Saccharomyces cerevisiae S288C: one gene and its partners. The protein of the gene in region 1 interacts with the protein of each later gene in a pairwise test. Each region holds a gene or a part of one and is shown on either strand. Other genes may lie near its edges.

Region 1 (2,523 bases):
CAATAAGGGCTTGTCTGTACCTCAGGATGATTTGAACAAGTTCCACTTACGCTAACATGAGGATGAATATCGTACTTATACTATGTAAACTGGAATAGAAATATTCCGAACGGTTATCCATTAGAGTGTTAGCCCTCAAACCGAGACTCTCGATAATATTGAATAGAAGATTTTACCACTAAATTTAGTGTGTATTTATGTATCTTAATAACAAACTATCCAACGAAGACGCAAAAGATACTATCCGCCCCGTAATCCTTTTGAAACCACTCAAGCTTATGGTTCACGTTATAGAACACAGGAGACGCTTGCATTATTGGTGATTCTAATATAGCTTTCTATTCCTCTATGAAAGGCGTCTGTGTTGGTGTAAATAGAAGAGGTGCCTGGTCACCTGACGCCTTATTTTGTGCAGTTACGATGTTCGAGTAGATTCGCTATCGAATTTATGCTCAAAATCTAGCTAATCCTCTTATTAGATCTTGATATGTATATATGTATGAAATTATAAGTTCTAGCTCTAGTTTTCAGTATCTTATTTATTTTTCTTTTTTTACAGTGTTAGAGGCCCATTCCCTGCAAATTTTTCTCTTCATATGAACGTCAACAAAGCTTGGAGTAAATATGATCTCACCATTAGGGTTACTTCCTATCAAGTTATCCACGTTGGTGGCTTTATTTAATGCGATTTCTTTTAGATAGTTTCCTTGGGATATTATCTTCCCATCGTTACTCTCAATTGGTAAATATTGTAATTTCTCGAACGAAGTGAACACTGCAAGAACAAAGAGTATCAATCCTGCATACGTTTCATACATGATATCTTTAGGTAACTTGCTGATTGCACCTTGTGCATTATTAAGCGAGTTAAGTTTTAATAAGTGATGAAACTCATAGCTTGAGAAACCAGAATGAAATAACACCAATGCAGAGACTGTATAGAGAAGCTTGGAAACAAACGACATCTCTTGATAATTGCTTTTTTGTATCTCGGTAGGGCTTAATTACGATCGCTTTTTAGATGCTACAATTAACATGCATAACAACTATCTGAGTTGACTTTATTTTATATTCAAAAGTAGATTTTTCTGCGCTGCGTTTACATCGCGAGTTTTCGAAGAAGCAAAGGGCGCTTTGATGACGATTGAATGGGCTTGGAAAATACATAGCCGAATATCATCCAGCGAGTATAGTCTAATGCGAAGGGATATTTGAAGTATTTATGATTAATCAAAAACTGCTAACGAAGCTATGTATGTTCAAAAGAAAGATGTGATATATATTATAGATCTTATTGTTTTACAAAAGAGCAATAAGTCTGACGTATATCTTTTCCCTTAATCTTGTGTGATTTCGTCGCTGTTGTCTATAGCATCTACCACGGTTGGGTGTTCCTCAATTGGTGCTAACTCTGAATTATTTTGCGAACTTTCTTCAATAGGTTCTAGATCGATTGTCATGGGAATATCTGGATCATTATTTTCAGTATTTGCATGGTCGGTTTCTCGTTCACTGTTGGGTTGTAAAGGCGCTTTTTCCCTCTGTGTTTGATTTGATTTTGCTTTCTGTATGTTCTTTTTATTAGGTTCTGGATTTTCCATTATGGTATCATCTACGATTTTTTTGAACAGCGGGCCAAGCTTTTCTTTGTTTAGTGCCACACGGGAAGCAAATCGTTCATCTAAAATATTCAGTTTCATTAGTCCCTTCAATTTAACTGTGAATAAAAGGAATTCAGTTTCAATATTCTCGAAAAACCCGGTTTCCGGCAAATCATTTAGGTTGGCGTCTTCATCTGCTACCCTTTCTAATTGGACGTCAACTTGCTTAGCGAAAAGACTCTCCAAATATAAAAATATTTTCAAAAGCACTTTGGAAGCATTATCGTGAAGGTAAAATGGAAATTGTTCACTCATACTATATCTCCATGTTGTAGCGTCTGCAGGCAATTTGAGCTCAAATATTTTTATTGCAACGATTATATCCATTAATGAAGTGCAAGCTGACCATTTTAAGTAAAACAAGCTGTTTATGTTTTCAAATGTTTCGTTTGTAGCCGCCAATGAAATAACGAGTGTGTTTAGACGACCTATTATAGCGGCAATTGGTTTCCAAACTGATCTAAGATCTTTTGAAATAGAATTCTCGTAATCCCTTACTTTCTCTATTATTTCTCTCCATTTTTCCAGATTCCATGTGGCTAATAACACTAGCATTTTAAAGTTTATTTCTTGAGCGGTACTATCATCAAAATCTTGAAACATTATAGGGATACGGGAAACAAAATTGTTCAAAAACAGTTGCAACAACTCTTCATCAACCTCGATTGGGTAATCCCTGCCAAGAATTGTCAGTTTATTGATGTAGAGCTCGTACAAAGAACAAGTTAAATCTTTGTAGTCGTCCCTAGAATTATTTGGATCCATTTTTTCCTGTAGAAATTTTTTTAAATGAATTTTCAATGTAGCTATCTGGTTTAAAAATTTTTCCTGCAGTTCCTTTTTTTCAAAATGATGGATATGG
Region 2 (2,804 bases), on another chromosome or scaffold:
AAAATTGAGTGCAAGTTGGAGAGAATCGCTTCCGACTTGATTATATTGCGATTTGCCAAGAACGGAATCACCGTGGTCTTAAATAATTCCGGTTGAGGAAGCGACAATAAAACATCCATTTTTTCTTGTAGGCAATGTTCACCTTCGTGCTTGAATTCCTTCCGGGGGGGGGGGCAGAAGCTTGAGATAGAGGAGAGGTCTTCTTCTTTTTCTTTTTGATCTGTCCAACAAACGTTTTTTCTCTCTCCTTGGCTTATGTTAAATATGCCCTCGGGAACTGCTCGAAAAAAACAGGAAAAAAACCGCGTTGAGAAAAAGTACCAACAATATGAAATTTTTCGTTTATTTGAGCATTTGTTGTGCCAAGTATAATCAAGACGATAGAGTAGGCTGCTTTTAAAGTTAAATCAACGAATGTTCCATTTCACATAAATAAAAACTACACATAAATAAAAGATTAGCGCAATTAAAAGGAGAAAAAAAGTAAGAAACTCATCCTATCAGTAAGTCTTGTTCTTCTCGTTGGCATTCTTGGCATCGTTGTCTGCTAAAATCAAGGCTGCCCTTTTTAGCTGGACAACGTTTGCGGTCTGCTTGAACACGTAACCAGGGAAACTTATGATTGTAGTCCATTTACCAAAGGTTGCAGAATTTGAGAACAACTGCAAGTACAATCCAGCATAAAATAGTTCGTTAAACGCACAGATAGTGAACAGTACGTCTCTTCTCGTGTAGTACAGGTGTAACAATCTGGACTCACCCTCGCCCACACTTTTATGAGAAGTCTTACCAGCACTTAAACTGGCATACATATGCATGTAGTGACTAGTAATATCCAAGCCCAGCATTAATTGGAAGAAAACGCACCATTGGGGATACTGCACACAAAGGAAACACATCAAGCCAGCGGTACTGGATCTGTCGGTAACCATGTCCAGAACGGCACCCAGACTGGAAACCTGATTGTACTTTCTTGCCATGGTTCCGTCTAGCGCATCCAGTAGACATGATGTACTATACAACCATGTAAAGGCCGTAGGATGATTCTTCATAACGAAAAAAGAAAGGGCGGCGGTGATAACACGAACATAACCGATCTTATTGGGAATATACCACAGAACGTGTTCTGCAGTAACCTTTTCTGGTGTTGAATTCGAACTCATCTTGTACTATCACACTTTCCCTCTTATTTACATTACTTGAAGGCTCCACAGTGACGGCAAATAAACCATACCACCTCTCATGTTTTTTATGTTTTACTTATATACTAAAAGTGAAAAATCCTCGAGACGGAAAAAACAATAGGAGGGGCTTTCCCTATTGAGAAATAATTTCCGTAATAGGGATTTACGTGCGGAGCGACGTGAATTTTATAAAATGAAAAAATTTTATGGAAATTTAGAGCTCATCTCATCTCATCTCATCGGTACTTCATATGCAAAGACTGCAACCTGAACTGAGATTTAATTTGAGCCTCAAGCACAAGATAACATAACTAACATGTCCCGTATCATTGTCAAGGGTTTGCCCGTCTATCTAACAGATGATAATCTCAGGGAGCATTTTACAAAAAGATTACGTCAAAAACATTCCCATCAAGCAGTTAATGGTAGTGGTCCAGACCTCATAACAGATGTTAAAATTCTTAGAGATAGGAACGGAGAAAGTAGAAGATTTGGATTTATCGGATACCGTAACGAGGAAGACGCTTTTGATGCTGTAGAGTATTTCAATGGCAGTTTTATCAACACTTCTAAGATAGAAGTGTCCATGGCTAAAAGCTTTGCAGACCCAAGAGTCCCGCAGCCCATGAAGGAGAAGAGAAGAGAAGCTCTGAAAAGGTTTAGGGAAAAGGAAGAAAAATTGCTACAAGAAGAAAATCGAAAGAAAAAGAAAGTGGATGAAAATAAGCACAGCAACATTGATGACGAGATTCGCAAGAACAAGCAATTACAAGAGTTCATGGAGACTATGAAGCCAAGCTCACAAGTCACATCATGGGAAAAAGTTGGCATTGACAAGAGCATAGAGGACGAAAAACTAAAACGGGAAGAAGAGGACTCCAGCGTGCAAGGGAATTCTCTATTGGCTCATGCATTAGCCTTAAAGGAAGAGAATAATAAAGACGAAGCACCAAATTTGGTCATTGAGAATGAAAGTGACGATGAATATTCGGCTCTCAACAGAAACAGGGATGAAGATCAAGAAGATGCCGGAGAGGAAGAAAAGATGATAAGTATTAGCAATTTGAAGGATACTGATATAGGTTTAGTTAATGATGACGCTAATAGTGATGAAAAAGAGAATGAAAAGAGGAGAAACCTCGCCCAAGATGAAAAGGTTTCTGACCTAGATTGGTTCAAACAACGCCGTGTAAGAATCAAAGAAAGTGAAGCGGAAACAAGGGAAAAATCATCATCATACGCTACTGAACAAAATGAAAGTCTCGATACCAAGAAGGAAGAACAACCAGAACGTGCTGTGCCGCAAAAGACGGACGAAGAACTGGCTATTGAAAAAATTAACCAAACTGGCCGTTTATTCTTACGTAATATCTTGTATACCTCCAAAGAAGAAGATTTCAGGAAACTATTTAGTCCATTTGGAGAGTTAGAGGAGGTTCATGTGGCTTTGGATACCAGGACTGGTCAATCCAAAGGATTTGCATACGTTCTATTTAAGGATTCTAAGAATGCAGTGAACGCCTATGTTGAATTGGATAAACAGATTTTTCAAGGAAGACTATTGCATATTCTTCCTGGTGAAGAAAAAAAAAGCCATAGATTAGATGAGTTTGATTTAAA
Region 3 (2,569 bases), on another chromosome or scaffold:
CGTTGTCCTTGTACGTGCACTTGTCGGTAACTACTTTAACGGAGGTGATTGGAGCAATATTATCTTCTGTCATTGTTACTTCTTTTTCACTGGAAAAAAAAGGGAATGAAACAGAATAAATCAAGGATAAAACTAACATTAGGAACCCGACAACAGAACAAGCCAAAAAAAGGTGACGAAAGCTCCAATTTATATACGTCTCAAATTAACATTGCCGCCAACGCAGAGGTGCGCTTTCTCTGCTCCATGTGAATTAAATAAGTTCAATATTCTGGGAAAGAAGGATGAAGATAAAATAGACAATACTTTTCACATGCCGCATTTAGCCGCCGAAGCGCATACTTGGCCTCCGCATATTTCACATTCAACACTTTCGATTCCGCATCCAACCCCGGAACACCGGCACGTATTTCATAAAAAGGACGTGAAGAACAAAAGGAACGAAGAAAAAGGCAATAATTTACTCTATGTGTTATTTAGAACTACGGTGATAAAGAGCTCGTTCCGATCACTAAGTACGGCCGGAAGAGAGCTGTTGTTTGTTGTCCATCAAGGGCACATCGGCACCGGCCTCATCGTCTTCATCATATGCTGGAGGCTGTGCTTGAGATTCCTCTGCAGGGTGAGCTTCCAGGTCACGGTCTACGGCGGGCGCAGTCGCATGTCTGCGTGAAAGATCGTACGAACGTTCACTACTCGTTTCATATACAACGTAGCAAGCGTGAATGATTGCTGGGAAGAATAACAGTAGGAAGAGAAGTAAGTTCAATAGTGTATCCCTGTTGAACATACCCTTACGCTTCCAGACGGCCACTGGGGGAATGAAAACCGCCAAAACCATTAACAACAAGTCGTCCTTGTTGATGGAATAGCTCATTCGATGGTCATGGTCATTAATATGGTCTCTGTCCATTTCTAAATTATATTTGGTTGTTTGCTTTCTGCTGGGTTTTTATTTTTTAACCTAGCCCCTTTCCTGCAGCTGGCTCATTCGTGCTGTACTCTCTTTCCTTTATATACTAGTGAGACCTTTTCCCCCGTTCCCAAAAAGAAAAAAAAAAAAAAAAAAAGAAAACGAGCCTTCATCACGTGCATTAAAGAAATAGTAATCCCAACGCACTCATCCGCTATATACATAGCGAAAAACTATATGCCCACTTCACAAATACGAGTTTGCATGTATAATATATAAGATTTATAAATGTTGTAGGGTGAATGTAAACGTTCAGTAATATACCGGTATATCTATCAAGATACGATCAATGCAACGCTTTACTGCACTGCACTACACCCCTTTTCCTCTACTTGTTTTTCTTAGTTCCTATTTCCCTCTCAAAATGCACCTGTTCACCAGAGTATTCTTTCTCATTGCAAGTATTACCCTACTTTATCGTCCCACACAAAGAGGAATATATATAGATTATAAGCGAATTGTAGATTTCGATGGAGATCTGATTTCCGTGCAAAATATCCAGGACGTCTATACACAGTGTTTACAACTCAGCTTATATTCATATCATGCCATTTCAAGATTATTTTCAGAAGAAAAAAGCAGCGTTCATTAACAGAAACAATAAAAGTAACGCAGATGCTTCAGCGCTACGAGATATTAACGATATTAACATAAATTTCGCCGCCAAGAGCAAAAACTACGTGTTCCCGCTAACAAAGCTCCCCGATGAGCTCATGCAAGAAGTATTCTCTCATTTGCCGCAACCAGACCGCTTGCAGCTTTGCCTTGTGAACAAAAGGTTGAATAAGATCGCTACCAAACTGCTTTATAGAAGAATATATTTGAACGACTCAAATGTAGTGAAGAGTGACTTCATGCATCTCGCAATTAATTGGACCCTACTGAACTTGCCGTCTTCGTTGAAAGAAGAGGAGTCCCGCGATATCGCCAACTGCAAATTGAAAAAACTTATAGAAACACTGCAAAATAATATTCACATTACTGAAGTCATCCAGTGGATAAGGATCAACTGGGATTTGGACTCTACCTTGCAAAGGTCCATTCTCAGCATCCTTTGCAATCAGGGCAAGTCCTTGCAAAGACTAGAAAACGTCACTGACCCGGCTTGTAACGATATCATCTCCAATGGTCACTTTTCCAGGAGCAACGTCTCAAGTTTCGACATGGCTCCTCCAAATTCATTGCCTGAGATGGTTGTTCCCGAAAATTACATTCCGAATCTCACCAAATATCTTTCACAGCGTATCTCTTCTCGGCTTTCTCATATGACTTTATTCATCGACCCTTTAAAACTGTTCAATTATCTTTACCCTTTAGATATCAAGTTACAAATCATCGATTTAAAATTGCATTGGAGGAGGGAGTTTTACAATAATGATTATTTTGTTAAAAAGATACGACCCGGCAATCCTCTGACTAAACTATCGGAGGTTTTTGACAAGAGGACATTGAAAATTCTTACCATCATTTCTTGGAATGACACTTTGTTAAAACGCGAGACAGAAATGCTGAAAGATTTTAAAGAATTTGAGAACCTGGAAGATTTGTCTTTGATTTCTATTAAGCAGGATGTTCATATCCTCGTAGATCTTTTTA
Region 4 (2,766 bases), on another chromosome or scaffold:
CTGTGGAGGCACCCAAGAAGGCGAATAAGATAAAGATAAGTTTGAAAGGTGATAAACCTGTTAGAAAAGTGGAAAAACAAATTGTGAAGCCGAAGGTAACTAGCAAACAAAGGAAAGTCAAAAGTCATGTGAACCGCATGGGCAGTTTACCTTTACGGTTTGTTAAGATCCAACAACAACCTAGAGTAATGGTGCATTTGTCATCCGTCCCGTATAGCCAATTCGTTCAAATTACAAAAGTCACATCAAGATCGTTTATGGTTAAGATAAGAACAAAGAATGATGCTAAGAATTGATTGTTTGCTTGAGTCTGAGTAATATCATATTTTATACAAATACATAGACATAAACAAAAGAGGCAAGTAGATAAGGGTATAGCCATATGAGTGTATAAACAAACATTGGGAACAAGAGCAAGACGATGGGGAGTTTCAAATAGGATAGCTATACTGACAACATTCAGTACTCGAAAGATAAACAACCTCCGCCACGACCACACTCTATAAGGCCAAATGTACAAACACATCTTCCCAATATCCGTCACCACGTACTTCAGCATAATTATTCGTCAACCACTCTACAAAACCAAAACCAGGGTTTATAAAATTATACTGTTGCGCGAAGTAGTCCCATATTCCGTGCTGCATTTTGTCCGCGTGCCATTCTTCAGCGAGCAGAGAAGACAAGACATTTTGTTTTACACCGGAGCCAAACTGTGAGTAATATGCTCTAAAAGCCATAAATGAGTTTAAATATTTCTTTGAAGATTTTATAGATGTCTTATTGAACTGTCGAAACTGAGTATTTTGACTTCCAGACGCTATCCTGTGAATTTGGATTTTATTTAAAAATCGAGAGGAAGGAACAGGAATCTGGATATCTTTCTTGAGTGGTCGAATAATATTGAAGCAGCTTGGCCTCACATGCTCAGCTAGACGTTTTTCTTTCAGCTTTTTTGAAACCGCTGTGTTTCTGTATGATTTGGATGCTTTGTTCTTAATTTTGAAAGCAGGCTTCGAAGTAAACATATTGTGAATGTCGTCTATTAAGTTATTATATATGGTTGATACATTTCATAAAAAGTGAAGGTTAAAAGAAGTAGTTAAGAGTTTAAGTTGTTTCATATGATGTACTTTTCTACATTGGGAAGCAATAAATTGCATCCCAAACAAAACCCAGACATCATTAATGTTTTGAAACATAAAATGTTGGAACTTAAAAATATATATAAAGGAGAGATTGAAATCAGCTTAGAAGTGGGCAAGAAAAAAAGGAAGATAAGCAAGAAAAAATGAATAAAATACCCATTAAAGACCTTTTAAATCCACAAATCACAGATGAGTTTAAATCCAGCATACTAGACATAAATAAAAAGCTCTTTTCTATTTGCTGTAATTTACCTAAGTTACCAGAGAGTGTAACAACAGAAGAAGAAGTTGAATTAAGGGATATATTAGGATTCTTATCTAGGGCCAACAAAAACCGTAAGATTAGTGATGAGGAGAAGAAGTTGTTGCAAACAACATCTCAACTCACTACTACCATTACTGTATTACTCAAAGAAATGCGCAGCATAGAAAACGATAGAAGTAATTATCAACTTACACAGAAAAATAAATCGGCGGATGGGTTGGTATTTAATGTGGTAACTCAAGATATGATAAACAAAAGTACTAAACCTTACAGAGGACACCGGTTTACAAAAGAAAATGTCCGAATACTAGAAAGTTGGTTTGCAAAGAACATCGAGAACCCATATCTAGATACCAAGGGCCTAGAGAATCTAATGAAGAATACCAGTTTATCTCGCATTCAAATCAAAAACTGGGTTTCGAATAGAAGAAGAAAAGAAAAAACAATAACAATCGCTCCAGAATTAGCGGACCTCTTGAGCGGTGAGCCTCTGGCAAAGAAGAAAGAATGAGCCCGAAAAACAAATATGTATATATCTGTGTAGAATATATATATATATATTTCGCAAAAATACATAAACAATCAACCCTCTCCTCAGACACTACTAAGATGTTTGTACTGATAGATAATGTCCTCGCCTACCTTCTTGAACAAGACGACCTATTTGTAACCGCACGCTTCGCTATCCAGGGCCAAATCGTCTCAAGAAGAGTTAACAAAATACATATCTCCAACATCACAGACGTCCTTCTACAACAATTCATAAGTCACACACTGCCCTATAATGACAATATCGTCCCAAAAAAAATCCTCGACAGCATGAGAACGGCCGTACGGCAGTTGCTGGAAGCAACTGCCTGTGTCTCTAGAGAATGCCCCCTCGTCAAAAGAAGTCAGGACATAAAAAGAGCAAGAAAACGTCTACTCAGTGACTGGTATAGGCTCGGCGCTGATGCAAACATGGATGCCGTATTACTAGTTGTTAACTCCGCCTGGAGGTTTCTGGCCGTCTGGCGACCCTTCGTAAACTCAATCCAACATGCAACTCAGGAATTGTATCAAAATATCGCCCATTACCTTCTTCATGGCAACGTAAATATACAGAGGGTCACAGCACTAATACAGCTCGTAATGGGACAGGACGATTTACTTTTTAGTATGGATGATGTTCTACAAGAGGTCTTCAGAATACAGCTCTATTTGAATAAGATGCTGCCGCACAACTCTCACAAATGGCAAAAGCCATCCCCCTTTGACTCCGCAAACTTACTACTTAACTTCAGAGACTGGACAACTGACAATGCTCTCCTCCAAGAGTTGCTACTATCCTATCCCACAATTAATAAAAACAAA

Evidence for each region.
Region 2: the proteins of EMC5 (region 1) and PIS1 interact in a protein complementation assay, tested with the Saccharomyces cerevisiae proteins (one large-scale study listed by BioGRID).
Region 3: the proteins of EMC5 (region 1) and SNA3 interact in binary tests that used the Saccharomyces cerevisiae proteins (3 or more experiments, as listed by UniProt).
Region 4: the proteins of EMC5 (region 1) and MATALPHA1 interact in a protein complementation assay, tested with the Saccharomyces cerevisiae proteins (one large-scale study listed by BioGRID).

What each region holds. Positions count from the first base shown.
Region 1 is NC_001141.2:303,140-305,662, forward strand, and holds EMC5 (Emc5p), read right to left. Parts: upstream 966-2,523; coding exon 540-965; downstream 1-539. Other genes in the region: cohesin subunit IRR1, read right to left, coding at 1,338-2,523. UniProt on the Saccharomyces cerevisiae protein: Part of the endoplasmic reticulum membrane protein complex (EMC) that enables the energy-independent insertion into endoplasmic reticulum membranes of newly synthesized membrane proteins.
Region 2 is NC_001148.4:750,616-753,419, reverse strand, and holds PIS1 (CDP-diacylglycerol--inositol 3-phosphatidyltransferase), read right to left. Parts: upstream 1,164-2,804; coding exon 501-1,163; downstream 1-500. Other genes in the region: ALE2 (Ale2p), read right to left, coding at 1-119; RNA-binding ribosome biosynthesis protein MRD1, read left to right, coding at 1,501-2,804. UniProt on the Saccharomyces cerevisiae protein: Catalyzes the synthesis of phosphatidylinositol (PtdIns).
Region 3 is NC_001142.9:135,861-138,429, forward strand, and holds SNA3 (Sna3p), read right to left. Parts: upstream 914-2,569; coding exon 512-913; downstream 1-511. Other genes in the region: inositol-3-phosphate synthase INO1, read right to left, coding at 1-73; SCF ubiquitin ligase complex subunit DAS1, read left to right, coding at 1,519-2,569.
Region 4 is NC_001135.5:198,704-201,469, reverse strand, and holds MATALPHA1 (transcriptional co-activator mating type protein alpha), read right to left. Parts: upstream 1,029-2,766; coding exon 501-1,028; downstream 1-500. Other genes in the region: transcription initiation factor TFIID subunit TAF2, read left to right, coding at 1-296; YCR041W (uncharacterized protein), read right to left, coding at 227-559; MATALPHA2 (homeodomain mating type protein alpha2), read left to right, coding at 1,292-1,924; Ras family guanine nucleotide exchange factor BUD5, read left to right, coding at 1,921-2,766. UniProt on the Saccharomyces cerevisiae protein: Mating type proteins are sequence specific DNA-binding proteins that act as master switches in yeast differentiation by controlling gene expression in a cell type-specific fashion.